Macaca fascicularis: one gene and its partner. The protein of the gene in region 1 binds, or shares a complex with, the protein of each later gene. Links are inferred from orthologs where the notes say so. Each region holds a gene or a part of one and is shown on either strand. Other genes may lie near its edges.

Region 1 (7,501 bases):
AGATGGAGAGTATATCGGAGATATTTTTGGAAAGGAATTGGTCTATGCAATGTCAGATTGGAATCTTCTTGAAAGTTTAACGTTTTTATTAGGAGATTTAAAAAATAAAGGTCTACAATATGTTTAGGGTTTTTTTTTTTCTTTTTTTTTCTTTCCTGTTTACTGCACAAACTGACCACATGGCATGTCTGCCAGGATGGAGGGTGTCCATGTTCTCTGTCTTTAGGGAGGTGATCAAGGAGGTGGGGGGAGGTGTCTTTTTTTTCTTTGAGTCCCCTCCTTTCTAACAGAATGTTGCCACCACTACTTGACTGGGCTGTGTTTGTTCCTCTGTCCCAGCTTCTGTTGTAGAAAATAACATTGTTAGGGGAAATCAGCCTAGTGTCAGTGTCTTGGTTTGAGGGGAAAAAATTAAATGTTTCGGTTTTTGTTTCTTTTGCTGTTTTGTTTTTACCTTGTTACTTTATCATATTGACTTTAGGGTCAAAGGCAACATCAGAAGGAAGTCAGATATGTATAGTGACATTCCAGGGGTGGGGAAGATGTAGGGGTCCAGGGTTCTCCCGGTCCTGGCTACAGGCACAATCATCACCACCTTCATCATTCCAGATTCCTGAGGAGGAAACAGAAGGCCGTTACCTGCCAGCCTCATACTGAGCGAAAGCTCTGTCCTCAGGGCCAAGTTCTAACCACTGCCCTGTAGACCTTCTCTGCAATCAAGTGGCCTCTAAGGAGCATGCCTGAGGACAAATAACTGTGCCTGTTTCCTCACCTGCAGATGGGGTTATCAACGGGAGTGTGCAGCCTGACCTATAGGAGGTGTGAATGTGTTCCCAAACTAAAGCCCCAGGCTGCCATCGTTTACAGGCCCAGGCTTGCCCTGGGCCCCTCACCCCTGTTTCTGACCCTCCCAAGTCGCTCTGGGACAGGCAAGTCACTCTGGGTCTTTAATGAGCTTGGAGGTGGCAGGAAGCTACAATGGTACTGGCCAGGCCAGGAGGAATCAGGCCACCAGGGCTCCATCTCTATCCCAGGATAGCATTCACCCCACTCCTCAGGGCTGACCCCCACTTACGGCCTCTTTAAACCCTGAAGGCGGATTCTGCCCCTTCCTCTGTTATATGCACAACCGGGGAGGGAGGTAAAAGTGGGCTCCTAGCTGAGCCCAAAGTCTCCTGAGAGAGAAGGGAAAAGAATCGGATTGTAGGTTTAAAAATGTTGCTCTTGGCCAGGCGCAGTGGCTCACGCCTATAATCCCAGCACTTTGGGAGGCTGAGGCTCTAGGAGGCAGATCACCTGAGGTCAGGAGTTTGAGACCAGCCTGACCAACATGGAGAAACCCCATCTCTACTAAAAATAGAAAAATTAGCTGGGCATGGTGGTGACTGCCTGTAATCCCAGCTACTCAGGAGGCTGAGGCAGGAGAATCACTTGAACCCAGGAGGCAGAGGTTGCAATGAGCCAAGATTGTGCCATTGCACTCCAGCCTGAGTGACAGGATGGGCTTCCAACAAACCAACGAGATAAATGCCAGAGGGAGTGAACCATGCCAGGCTCAGAGTACATCTCTCCCCAAACCCCCCAGGTGGGGACAGCAGGCCAAAGGCCTCCACATAACCCCTCAGGGAGGCCTGGAGTCCAGATGCTATACTCCAGGATCTAAACAATCACTGAATTTTAAAGCTGGCTGGTTCAAAACTCTTACTTTGGGCCGAGCGCGATGCTCACACCTGTAACCCAAGCACTTTTGGAGGCTGAGGTGGGCGGATCACCTGAGGTCAGGAGTTTGATACCAACCTAGCCAACACGGTGAAAACCCATCTCTACTAAAAACACAAAAATTAGCTGGACGTGTTGGCACGCGCCTATAGTCCCAGCTACTCGGGAGGCTGAGGCAAGAGAATCACTTGAACCCAGGAGGCGGAGGTTGCAGTGAGCTGAGAACACGCCACTGCACTCCAGCCTGGCCGACAGTGAGACTCCCATCTCTGGGGGAAAAACAAAAAAACAAAAAAAACCTCTTACTTTGGGCCAAGCCTCCACGGGGTGCCAGGGATACAGCAGCAATCTCAGATCCTACCCTCAGGGAGCTGACAGGGCCGGATGAACAAGTGTGTCAGTGAATTAAAAGGCACAGGAGGCTGGGCACGGTGGCTCACGCCTGTAAACTTTTGGAGGCCGAGTTGGGAGGATCGCTTGAGCCCAGGAGTTCGACACCAGCCTGGGTAACATAGAACTCCGTTTCTAAGAAAGAAAAAAAACCCTTCCCAGCTGGCTTCCCTGGGGAACGTGGCGTCCCAGTGAGGCTGGATGGATGGGGAGCAGCCGGCCGGTGAGTGGTGGGGGCCCGCGTTCCTATCTCGGAGCTGAAGAAGCGTGGAAGATGATCTGGCCCAACATCCCTTTGTTCTCAGAGGAAGGATCCTCCAAGATCGGGGAGGGGCCTGTGCGTGGGTTCTGGTCCGAAACATGTCTGGGCTGCTGCGAGAGGCAGCCGGTGAAGGAAAGGAGGGGACATCCAGAGGGTGGCCCAGGAGGCCAGGCGATGGTGAGGAGGGCGCCCCCTCTCCACCAATCCAAATCCTCCCCATTCATGCGGGCTGGGGACAGACCCTCCCCCGCCCATCCTAGGCTGAAAAGTGAACATTCTCTGCGCCTCTCCCACCTACAGACTAGTTACGGCCCCCCAGTTCCCGTGTCGGCTTCACCACTGACTCGGATTGGGATCTACCTTTCTCTGAGCCTCGCTTTTCCCATCTGAAAAATGGAACTTCCGATCCCGCACTCCCATCTCACTCTGACCCCAGGACTTTGGGATACTTAGAGATTGGCTTTTGGTGGGGCGGCGACAGGACTGTGGCCATGAAGGCCAGGGAGTCTGGGTCCCCAACTCGGTCCCATTCCCTAGGGAGATTCGGGCAGCAACCGGCCCCACAATGCTCTTGAGAACTACACTTCCTCGATATGCAAAGGGGAGGAGGCGGTTCCTGCTAGTCTCCGACGACGTGGGCCTGAGCCGGCCTGGGGACTACGACTCCCGGCGCGCTCCGCAGCCCAAAGCCGGAAAAGCGTGAATCCGGAACCGGATGTGGCTTGCGGCTCCGGTGACTGAACGCGCGGGGAAATGGTGAGATTGGGACAGAGTGCCGGAGATAGGGGCGTCTGGGGGTGGGGTCTCGGGTACTCAGAAGCTGGGGCATGGGCACTGGAACGGGGATTGCTCTCCCGCCCCCCCTATTGTACGGACGATAACGCGGAGGCCTGGCATTCTCTCCCAGCCTAGAAACTGATCCCTAGTCAGCCCTCTAGCATCTTTTTTTTTTTTTTTTTTTTTTTTTTTTTGAGACGGAGTCTCGCTCTGTCGCCCAGGCTGGAGTGCAGTGGCGGGATCTCAGCTCACTGCAAGCTCCGCCTCCCGGGTTCCCGCCATTCTCCTGCCTCAGCCTCCCGAGTAGCTGGGACTACAGGCGCCCGCCACCTCGCCCGGCTAGCTTTTTGTATTTTTTAGTAGAGACGGGGTTTCACCCTGTTAGCCGGGATGGTCTCGATCTCCTGACGTCGTGATCCGCCCGTCTCGGCCTCCCAAAGTGCTGGGATTACAGGCTTGAGCCACCGCGCCCGGCCTCCTCTAGCATCTGTTGAATGGGAAGCTTAGACCGTGATTGGGCCGCGACGCCCCGCCTCCATTAGTACGCCAAAATAGAGAGTCACTTCGTCAGCTGAGACCTCCCTTTTCTCCAGGCCACGGGGACAGACCAGGTGGTGGGACTCGGCCTCGTCGCCGTTAGCCTGATCATCTTCACCTACTACACCGCCTGGGTGATTCTCTTGGTATGTCATTCTCCCCGTCCGCTGCTCACCTTCCCGTAGCCCTGGCACCGCCAAAGCAACTTCTATGTAGGTTCTAGGCACGGCGCTGGCTTCATTGCCTGCCTTATCTCTTGAAATCTTCAAAACAACGCTATGAGGAAGATGCCAGTGGTGCCGCATTTTTTAGATGAGATAGCTGAGGCTCGGGGAGAAGGATCTGGCCCAAGATTGCATCCTTAGCCGCTACACTTAAAACTCTGTTTCCAGCTTGCTTTGACTTTTGGGGGAGTTATGTTCCTTCTGGGTTAGCCTGCTGACTCAGGCATGGCGAGCGCCAGTGATATCTGTGAAGGCCTTTAGGATATTTTTTTCTTGTGGGAAAACGTGTTGGTCATTGCTTAAGAAGTGCAGTGTGTTTGGAAGTGCAGAACTTGCTATCCTTTAGGGAAAAAATATTAGTGAAGAATCCCTGGAGGCCCAGGTTGGGAGTCAGTCGAGGATTCCTCATGTACTATTTGCTAGCCTGTGAGTGCCTTAGGGCTGGTCTCTTGTCCCCTGTTCTCTTGTCCCCACCACCAACCTATGGCAGGCACCAAAGCAAGTGCCCGGTAAATACCAATAAGAAATTAAGGAAGGAAACAAACCATGACACCCAAATGCCATAATCTTAAAGAAAAGCAAATGCAGGCCCAGTGCTCTGAATGGGCCAGCCCCTTAGATGCTAGAGGTGGTGTGTTTGGGCTTGGGGGCTGGGCAAGGCGAGCAAGGCTCACCAGAGCTCTGCCCTCGATGCCAGCCATTCATCGACAGTGAGCATGTCATCCACAAGTATTTCCTGCCCCGAGCCTATGCTGTCGCCATCCCACTGGCTGCAGGCCTCCTACTGCTCCTGTTTGTGGGTAAGTCATCACTTCCTCCCCTTGACCCCGGGCAGGGTTTCGGGGGGACCCCACCTCTGAACATGCTTCCACACTTTGGCACTGCTGGAAGCTCCTTGCCCCGAACTCACCCCTGGGGTTTTCCTGTTCATCCTTCGAGGTTGCCAGTCAGTAACCTCTGGGTTTCCTGGTGCCCCAGGCTTTTTGGACTCCAATGACCTGTCCCCCTCTTTCCTGCCCCCAACCCCATCATTGCTCTGCTCACACCTCAGTCACCCTCTTGTCACCCTGGCTTCTAATTCCTGCACCTCTCTCTCTCATGGCTTCCTAGGGGCGGGGACTGTGTCTCCATCATTACTGTGCATCTAGAATGGGCTGTGGCACTGAGGTTGTGCTCAGAAAGTCATTTGGATGAGTCAGTCAATAGCCGGGTGCCTGGATGATGGGTGGATGGATGGGTGGGTGGGTGAGGTATAGGAGGTGGGTAGGTATATAGGTGGACAAGTGGTTGACTGGGTGATCTATAGATGGGTGGATCTTGTTCCCCTTGGAATCTGAAACACTAAATGCAGCATCTTTGCCTGAGGCAGGCACTCAGCTGGTGTTTGTTGAATGAATGTGAGTGGACCTATGGCTTGACGAATGACTAGGGAGATAAGCAGGTTCCCTGGAGAGTGGTTGGGTAGGTTCACAGCCCTGCGTGTGGGTGGCTCTGCTGTGTCGTGCCCTGGCCTCCCAGCAGCCCTGAGCTTAGATCTTATGTGGCCTTTCTGGTCTATGTATTCCAGGACTGTTCATCACCTACGTGATGCTGAAGAGCGAGAGGGTGACCAAGAAGGCTCAGTGAAGGTCCCGCGGGGATGAGGCTGCCAGCCCCTTCTCTGCTTCCCCTCCAGCACAGGGACCAAGTAGGGGAGCCTGCAGAACCTGTCCAGGCACAGTGGCGCCTCCAGCCTGCCTGTCCTGCAGAGTCCCCATGACATGGAGCTTACCCCTGCCTGACCGGAGCCCCCTCCCTGACTCTCACTTCCAGAAGCTAGGAGGGAGGAATACCTGGAAGACTCCAGTCACCCCCTTCTTGCTCAGGGCCTAAAAGATGCTGGTCTCCCAACCTCACTCTCAGACTCCCTGCCACCTTTTCCCCCGGGTTTTGCCATGTTGCCTCACTTCCCCTCCTGTCACATGCTGACATTGGACTTAGCGGGTTCTAGGGCCGCATGTGTGACCTCTCTGACCTCCCTCCACAAGTCCTGCTCCTCCAGCAAGGCAGCTTTCCTTAGCCTGACACAGCCCAAGACCCCGCAAAGCCTTCTGGACCTGGAACGCCCGGGGAAGGACTGACAGACCCCAGGACCAGCCCTGGGCCTCAAGGCATATTAGCTGCTGACCGATCGCTCCTCATGGAGGTCCCCAGGGCTGGCCTGTTTGGGAGAGCTGACCAATAAACACTGATCATGTGTTTGTCTCTGTGCTGTGTTTACCCAGGGTCGGGGCTGGAGCGGGCTGGGAGTGGTCTTGGGTCAGGAGATCCTGTACAGTGGGGTTGACTCAGGGGCCTTCTGCCCTGACCCCGTGCGCTGGGGATAAAGCAGGGACTGGGAGAGATGTGCTTCCTACCCAATGGAGCTCACAGCTGGGAGTCATTGAAGGCCCTGGCACCCCTGTGCCATGCCTCCTCTGTGCCAGCTTGGGCAGGTTGGATTTATTACTTTAGGGACCCTTGTGCCACTCCCCTAAAAGCCCCACAGCCCAACTTAACGTGGCCCTGAGCAGCGAAGGCTGCTGTGTGTTCAGGTTGGCTGGACTGGCCCAGCCCCCAGCCCTCCAGCAGTCCCACCGCACCTGGGCAGCTGGCTCTCCCATTTGCCACCGCACCTGGTATAAACCCCCATTCCTCAAACCCGGGACCCTCACTCTTCTTCCAGTTGGCAGAGGTATCTTCCTCATCACAGAGAAAAAAGAGGCCAACTGCAGACACCCGCCCTGTCCCTACCTGCTCCATACTCTGTCCTCCAGTCCAGGCAGAGCAGCCTCCTTGGGCTCTGGATCCTAATCCACCAACCTCCAACTACTATAGTGGGAGCCTGAGGTCACAGATGGCCCCACCCTGTTGTGAGAAAAATCTCCACAGGATTCTCCCACTGTTTCCTAAGTGTGCTCGGGGATCCCACTTACAGGCCCTCTGTCAACCCAGTAGTTCCCACTAAGTGTCTCCCTCTGTCCATTTCACCACCAAGCTTCCCCAAAGGGGGTCCACATCTGCCTCCTGCATTTCCTCACCTCCTGCCACACTCAGCATCTGTCCCCATCTCCAGGCAGGCTCCAGCCACTGAGGCCACCAGCAGTGTCCACTCTATTTTTTTTTTTTTGTAATTTTTTTTTGTGACGAAGTTTCGCTCTTGTTGCCCAGGCTGGAGTGCAATGGCATGATCTCAGCTCACTGCAACCTCTACCTCCCGAGTTCAAGTGATTATCCTGTCTCAGCTTCCCAAGTAGCTGGGATTACAGGCATGCGCCACCACACCGGCTAATTTTGTATTTTTTGTACAGACTGGGTTTCTCCATGTTGGTCAGGCTGGTCTTGAACTCTTGACCTCAGGCTATCCGCCTGCCTTGGCCCCCCAAAGTGCTGGGATTACAGGCATAAGCCACCATGCCCAGTTGATGTCCACTCTTTAAATCCAAAGGATGTCTGCTTGACTCTCAGCTGCATTTGGCCTGTGACATCCCCTGATCCGCTGTCAGCCATTTTCTTGATGTCTGTGATGACCATTCTTTTTGTTTGTTTGTTTGTTTGTTTGAGACAGAGTCTG
Region 2 (7,482 bases), on another chromosome or scaffold:
AATATGCACGGTTGCTACTTGAGTTCTCTAAAGTTAACAATCACAAATGCACTCAAATAATACACATGTATTAATACATATAAACAAAAACTACAATTTCATAGAACTCTTTACTATCTTCAACCACCAACACCTAGCCCTGTTCCTGATGTGGACTATAGAATAATTATGAGGCATGCCTCTATTGAGACATGAGGCCAAACCAGGAGCAGGCAGTGGACAGATGCTTTGGGCTCCAGAGGTTAGTCCCTGAAACCCTTTTCTCCTCATTGGCTAGTGTCCTTAAATATAGAAAGCAGTCCAATTGACCTTGCGGAAAACCACCAATTTTTATCACAAAACACAATATTCATCTGCCCAAATAAAACTCTGAAAAAGAATGTGACATGAGAAGCGCTGAAGACACTAGTTCAAAGTCATGTCCCAGACATTCTTGAGAAATTTATGCAAATAAATATATTATTTTTTAGTAATACCACTCCCTTGACAAAATTTCTGATTTGAAGTTAATTCCTAGTGATAAAAGGACAGTACAGAAACTTGCCGCAAATGAATTACCACAGGAATAACCAGCTATCCTGGGAGGTGCCTGCTGCATTTGGCACCTTGTCTCTGCTCTCTTTAGGTTTTCTTACATGTCAACTTAAACAACACCTAATACATTAGTACTAGCTATTACATAGTGCTGATGCTAATACATAGTGCTTCGTGTCAGGCATTCTTCAAAGCACTTTGCATATATCCCATTTACCACAATTCTAGAGGTAGATACTTTTATTCCCACTTTACAGATGAAAACTGAGACATAGAACAGCTGTGGCCTAAGATGTGATGATTTATTTCCTCCTTAGACAAAATGGATTGCTCCCCATTACCTAAAGTATAGAGCCCAAATTCACAGCCCTCGAATTGCTACTCAACCTCCCATTCTGACTTTTTCCCAATATCCCCTCCCAAAACTCCCCATAACCCTGAAGTGCCATCAAATATTGTCCCATCATCGTGCCCATGCTAAGGACAGATGTGGTACAGTAGTAATCTTATGTTGCTGCAAACGTGTTTTTAGCCTGATTAATTTAAACTTGAGACAGAATTTACAAGTCAGATTTCATATTAAAAATCAGATATACAGTTACTGGGACTTCTTTTAGAATCCTATCTGGAATTCTAAGGGTCTATGCACAAACTGTGAATAGAAACTATCAGTTGGAGCACTGTAGCAGGTGTCTCCATTGGACATCTCCATTTGTTCACAGTTGCCATCAGTCACACAAAGCATGCCAGTTTCACTTGCTTCCGTTACTGACCTGGCCTCTAAAGGCCTTCAACACATTGCCCTAAAACCATCTTTTGCCTACTTAAGTCTCCCTATCCTCCAAGACTAAGCTCAAATGTCACTGCCTCTCATAAGTATTTCCTAATTATTCCAGCTGAAATTTATCTCCAGCTTCTGAATTCCCCCTAGCATTCTGCTTATTATGACACATCACACTCTGCTTTGTAATTAGTTGTGTATATGCTTCCGTAACAACAAGGTAGAAACTGAGTCAAGGTTAGGTAACCAATTCTGTGATATTGGGCAACAAAACTGAACACAGCACCTTGTGTTCTAGGATTTGAGCCCTAGATAAATAAAACAGCATTAGCACATTGAAAAGGGTAGAGAGAAGTGACTTTACACACACACACACACACACGCACACACTCTTCACTCTTCATGCCCCTCTGCCTACTGTTTATGTAAAAATCATGAGACAACTTGATGAATGTGTTATTTTTTTAATAGAAACCACATCACTTCATATGTTACAGCATGTAATTCAAGAGGGTCCCAGAAAGTATTTTCATCCACAAAATAACGGAAAGGATAAGAACCCGCACCACCCAAGCCTTTGGTTCATCTTTTTTGTTTTGATCTCTGTTCTCTTACCACAATGACATGCTGCTTCCAGAATGGAACTCTGTCTTTAAGTTCTATACTAGTTAGGAGGCTAGTCTATCAGCTTGCCTTAATAACGTAATGGATGTCCTAATTTAACTGAGGAACCTGGACAAGTCTTCCTTGATTTCAGCTTCATCCCAAGGCCCATGAATGTTTTCTTTAAAAAGCTGCAAGCGAATGAGGTAGAATGGACAGAGACATGAGATAGACATCAGCAGAAGGGCAAAGAGTATGGCTCCCACAGCACTGATGGACAGTAGGCCTCCTAAGGCTGAAAATGCAAAGAGCAGTGTGACCCCCACATAGCTCCGGGGAGTACATGCCTTTAGTTTCTTCTGTAACATGGGCCATAGGGCAAAAATCTGAATGGCAAACGTCACCATGATGAAGGCATGCAGGGACCGGGGAAGACGTGAAGCCAAGCATACAGAAGCAAAGATGGCCATGTTCAAGGATAGCGTGCTGGACACAATGGCAGCATTGGCACCATAGTCAAAAAAGATGAGGTGGCCTAACAGCATGAAGACTGACATGGCATAGATGGTGTCAGTGCTGACAGACTCTGTAAGGGTTTTCAGCACTGGTGAAAACCCATAAGTGAAAGTAATGAAGACTAGGGCACTCTTCAGGTCAGCCCATCGGGTCTGCCCACTCTTCTTCCGCCCTTCACCTCCATCAATGAGATCAAACAAAACATACCCAATCAGTGAAGAAGCCAGGCCAGTCCCAAAAAGCCAATGGGGGGCCAGAAGACCCTCATCCATATACCACCAGATAACCACAAAAACACAAACACTGCACAGCTGCTGGATCACTACACTGGACTCAAATACCACAGCCCAATATTGGTATTTCCGAGCATGGATGTTTTTCCGGAGCTCTTCCAGGAATCGCCGGTCCACATAGTTATCAGGAAAGGGCTGTCGCTCATACAAGACCTTCTGCCACTTGACCTCCTTGGTGCTAGTTACAGGTTGGGCACACATTATCCTTTCATTCAAACTCAGGCCAGTTTAATCATCGCCCTCACAGAAGTCCAGGTGGTTCTTGTTCTTTATGAAGTTTTGAAATGAGACCTCCCTGGAAATTCCATGCTGTGGTTGATGTTCTATCAACCTTTCCTTGTTTTCAAAGGCAGCAACCCAGGCTAGGCCTACAACAGATGAATTTGTCTCTGAGGCAGGACAACACAGCCAAGTTCCTAGAAAAAGAGAGACTGTGAACCTACAAAAGTTGTGAAAGGTCAAGAGTAGTACTGAGTTAAAGTCAAATCAACTCAGTTTACTAAAAGTCTGAGCAAAATGTATGTGGTAGTCACCTTATTAATTTGGGACATTAAAACTGCATTTCAGACTTGAAAATTATAATTCCTTGAATAATAAAAGACATCTGTTAGCTATCATTTATTGAGTGCCTACTATGTGCTAAATGCCTTATGTATCTTCTTTCACTTAATCCTCACAACCTTGCAAGTTAGTATTAGTCCTGCTTTGGTAAAAAAGCTGAGATTCAAGATGCTTAAGTAACTTTGCCCTAAAGTAACAGAGCAGAGCCAGGATTCAAACCAAAGTCTTATCCCAAAGCCTGTGTCTGACACTGTATCTCCCTCTAAACCAGTTCTTAACTCAGTGGTTCACATACCCCTTCGGTGTATCACATTGCATGTTTATATCCGGATTTGTGTGAATTTATACGGATAATATCCATAGCTTTTATTGGTTCTCAAAGGCATGTTATATTTTTTAAATTACCAATCCAAAGACAATAGTAAGCTGCACCATACAGAAAGGTATGAGCTCTACAGTTTGTTTAGCCAAAATCAAAGACTCAAAGAAACTAGACTCTTCTTCCATTAGCTGAGCTTAGCATCCTTTAAAGAGCTATCAGTCTACTCAAAACAAGGAAACTCTTGTGAGGATCCAGAAAGGTAATCATCCCTTTTTCACAATGAGAAAACTAAGAGTCAGAAACACCACAGGCATCCGGCAAATTTAAGGAAAAAAAATTTCATATTGCCCGACTTTATTTTTTCCATGAAGACCACGACAAGTGTTGCTTGGCAGGCCAGACACCGTTACCCCGCTCTCTGCAGCAGGGATCCCAGCCCGGGAATCTTAAGGCCGCCGCCGAGGCTGGAGGGTTCGCGACGCCCAAAAGGGCAGCGCCCGCCCGCAGAGTGGGGCTGGGAGGGGACAGGGTAGGGTAGGGTAGGGTAGGGTGACCCCAGGGGTGCGCCTTCACTCTCCGGGCCTCCCACTCCAGCCGCCACCCCTCACTCAGCCTTGAGCCTGCGAGAGACAGCAGAGGAGAAGGAGCCCCGGAAACACTGACAGTTACACGGAACCCACCTGCCCGAGAGTTCCTAGGGATGCGCAGCTGGGGGACGGCGGCACCCAGCCTTTTTCCCGCTCCGGGGCGCAGGGGCTGCGACTGTGGCGGAGCACTTCCGGGTCTGCCGCAATCTCCTCAGCGAGAGCACCCTTCCCCAGCCGGAACCATCGCGACGTGGCTGCTGCCCCCTCCTGGCTGCTCAGAGGACCTCCGGACTCCTCTCCTGCAGACTGGCCCAAACCCGAATGCTCTGAGCCTAGGAAGGCAAATCTCCAGCAATCCCCTATTGAAAGATGGGATGTGCCATCTGAAGGGCTGGGTAAGGCAGGAGAGGACAAGGAAAGAGGCTGGGCCAGTGGGTGAGAGATAATGGCAGCTTTTGTTGCGCTCCTTTTATTAAGTCAGGCCCTCAGCTGGGACTTCCCATGCATCCATGCGTTCATTCCACAGATACTGACTGAATGCCTGCAGGTAACAAGCCCTCCTTGGGGGTGCTCATGATACAGCCGTGAATGAAACAGACAAAAATTGCTGCTCTCATGAAACTCTCTTTTTTGGTACATTGACCTTTACACTGATTATATCATCTTCTCCCTCAAAGAGGACAAATCTAAGGCTCAGATAAGTTGAATTTGTCCAAGGACAGGCACCTGGGAAGTAGATGAACAGAGATCAATATCCAGTTGTCCATAGATTCAAAGCTTGGTTCTTTCCTCTTTAACTCCTAAAAGAGGAAAGGAGAAGATTGCTAATTAAACTGAGTTCATAGAAATATTAAAGGATGTATAAACAAAGGAAATAATAAACAAAGGGATGTAGTAAAACACGGGATACAGTGGATACAAAAGTCAGAAAACATGACCCATTTACTAGCTCAGTGACTCAAGGCAAATCACACTACCTGACCTTGGATTTCTTCATTAGTAAAATGGAGATGACATTATTTGCACTTGGCTACTGTATAAGATGGTCAAAGAGTCAAATATAAAATATAAAAATGTTTTGTAAAGTGTTCACTATATGGCTGCTATTAGCTGACTTCGGCCATCGTAATGATAGCAATGTTTAAGTGTGATACATTCTGTAAAATGTTCTCTATTTCCCTCTAGGCTTCTGTTGCAAAATTTGACAAGATTCCTTGGCTTAGTGAGGCCAGCCTCGTAAACAAGCCACTAGTGCTCAGCCTCCCCAGAAGGTAACCTCTCAGCCACTGAGGGCAAAAGATTTACGAAACATCTCACAGAAGATGATTTCTTCTTAAGGGATGATAATTATACAATTATCAGAGGGCGCATTTGATCCATTGAGAAACTCAAGTCAAGTGCTTTAAAAATAGAAATATTCCAGGTTTCTCAGACAAAAATGATCACTGAGTATAGATCTGGCTAGAGGAGATGAGATCTCAAATTATTTCCCTCTACCACTCAACAGTATAAGATAATTTTGTCGCTAGACACTGTCACTTAAAACACTTCCATCCTCTTTCTCACCCCACCTTTTCTCCACTGCTGTAGTCTGAAATTTTCACATTTTTACCATCAAAAGTCTAGAACAGTAAGTTCCCATCTTTATAGAATAGTAACTCTGTATGTAACTTTGAGGTACCCTCCTACAATCTTGTTAGTCCTATTCCTTCCAGACAGACTACTATGTGACACATACATCTATTTTTCAAAATTGCAGGAATTACATGTCTAGGGAGCATTTCAGCTGTCTCTTGAAATTATTGGGTTACCATGTTCCTTCTCCATTTTTGATGAAATGGTTCCTAAGTGTAGTGATAAACCCCACTCTGGAAAGGGGACATGGACAGAAGGGTAGGTGTGAAGCAGTGTTGGGGTAAATGAAAGAAACCAGAAGGAGGGCAAAGAAAAGGTAGGCATAGAGGCCATTCCAAAGGTACATGACAGACAAAAAAGGATCCACTCCTTGGCATGTGAAACAGCTTGTTAGAAAAGCCAGACTCCCCGAAAAGGGTTTCTCCTCCTGTTGATAACTACCATGTACCCTCCTGCCCATGGATAAATGACTTCGTGAGCGAATTCCCATCACTACCTCCACATCCCCACTTTAGTAACACGTACCCTTACTTTGTCTACTCTACTTTAAAAAAAAATCACATTCTCAGTAAATAGGTACAGTTTTATGTATTTTCAGAACAAAATTCACAAGTGCTTTCAAGTGCTCATTATTCAGTTGTGTTGCTTTTACATAATTTTGAATAGGTCTAAAGCAGATTTTCAGAGGTTCAATAAACTCAAAGACCTATTTAAGAAACAAAAGCACTAAGTGATAGAGGGCTTATTAAGAGTTGTTAATGCTACATGGATCAGCATGAGTAAGGATAGTCTAGCATATTTTAATTGAGGGTGGGACACAAACTCACAGGCCCATGACAGTGAGATGAGGGGCATAATGAGTACAGCTGGCCAAACAGGACTGCAGTGAATGGAAATCACCTCCCCACTTCAGCCCACCCGCACCCCAGCAGTGTTACCTGCAGGCATGTGAGTCCAGAGGCCAGATCCACTGGGTCTTCTAATAGTACTAGAAATCTGGATGTTTTATGTGAAATTGCTAGTGTTTGATCTAATAGGGTAATATCCCACCATCCCATACTACCCCCATGTCCATTAGACCTGCCCCAGCAGCCAAGAGCAAAGCATCCTTGTGCATGGCTCTCTTGCCCCCAGCTCCCTTGGTCTCTAAGTATATAAGCCTTTGGCAGAGGGTGAAGATCAGGGAGAAGGGTAGGCCCAGAATACAACTGGCCTTCCGCAGCACCTGTTCAATTTCACAGCCAGGTCCTGGAGGGTCAGAGCAGACAGTCTATTGACAGCCAACTGGAAAGGGAGTGGGTAGTTTTTCCTCCAGCCAGCCAAACCTAGGCTAGGCACAAGAAGAAATTACCTTAGGCAGGCAGTGAAGCTCTACTCATCGCTATTCTGGGAGGATTGGGGTAGCAATCTCAATTCTTGTTTAGAAAAATGTAATACACCTACCTTACAACAAAGGTGACCGAACAGCACCTCTGAGGTGCCCTGAACTCTCAGGAGGACAAGACAGGAATGTAAAGTCTTTTGAAAGGATGGTTTAAGTATCAACAGATCTTAAGGATTAAAAGCTCCTCATGTGGGACAAAGCTCTGGGTTCCAAGCTGTTTATTTTTGGCAAAGCCCCTTACTGAGACTTTGGGAGAAAGTTCTCAA

What was found.
Region 2: DPM2 (region 1) and PIGC share a complex: the UniProt entries of both Homo sapiens proteins name them as parts of the glycosylphosphatidylinositol-N-acetylglucosaminyltransferase (GPI-GnT) complex. The link is inferred for Macaca fascicularis from reciprocal best matches to the Homo sapiens genes DPM2 and PIGC.

What each region holds. Positions count from the first base shown.
Region 1 is NC_088389.1:16,048,945-16,056,445, forward strand, and holds DPM2 (dolichol phosphate-mannose biosynthesis regulatory protein), read left to right. Parts: upstream 1-3,084; 5' UTR 3,085-3,124; coding exon 3,125-3,127; intron 3,128-3,741; coding exon 3,742-3,831; intron 3,832-4,606; coding exon 4,607-4,709; intron 4,710-5,476; coding exon 5,477-5,535; 3' UTR 5,536-6,149; downstream 6,150-7,501. UniProt on the Homo sapiens protein: Regulates the biosynthesis of dolichol phosphate-mannose. Regulatory subunit of the dolichol-phosphate mannose (DPM) synthase complex; essential for the ER localization and stable expression of DPM1.
Region 2 is NC_088375.1:30,039,541-30,047,022, forward strand, and holds PIGC (phosphatidylinositol N-acetylglucosaminyltransferase subunit C), read right to left. Parts: upstream 4,400-7,482; 5' UTR 4,291-4,399; intron 3,167-4,290; 5' UTR 2,929-3,166; coding exon 2,035-2,928; 3' UTR 1,764-2,034; downstream 1-1,763. UniProt on the Homo sapiens protein: Part of the glycosylphosphatidylinositol-N-acetylglucosaminyltransferase (GPI-GnT) complex that catalyzes the transfer of N-acetylglucosamine from UDP-N-acetylglucosamine to phosphatidylinositol and participates in the first step of GPI biosynthesis.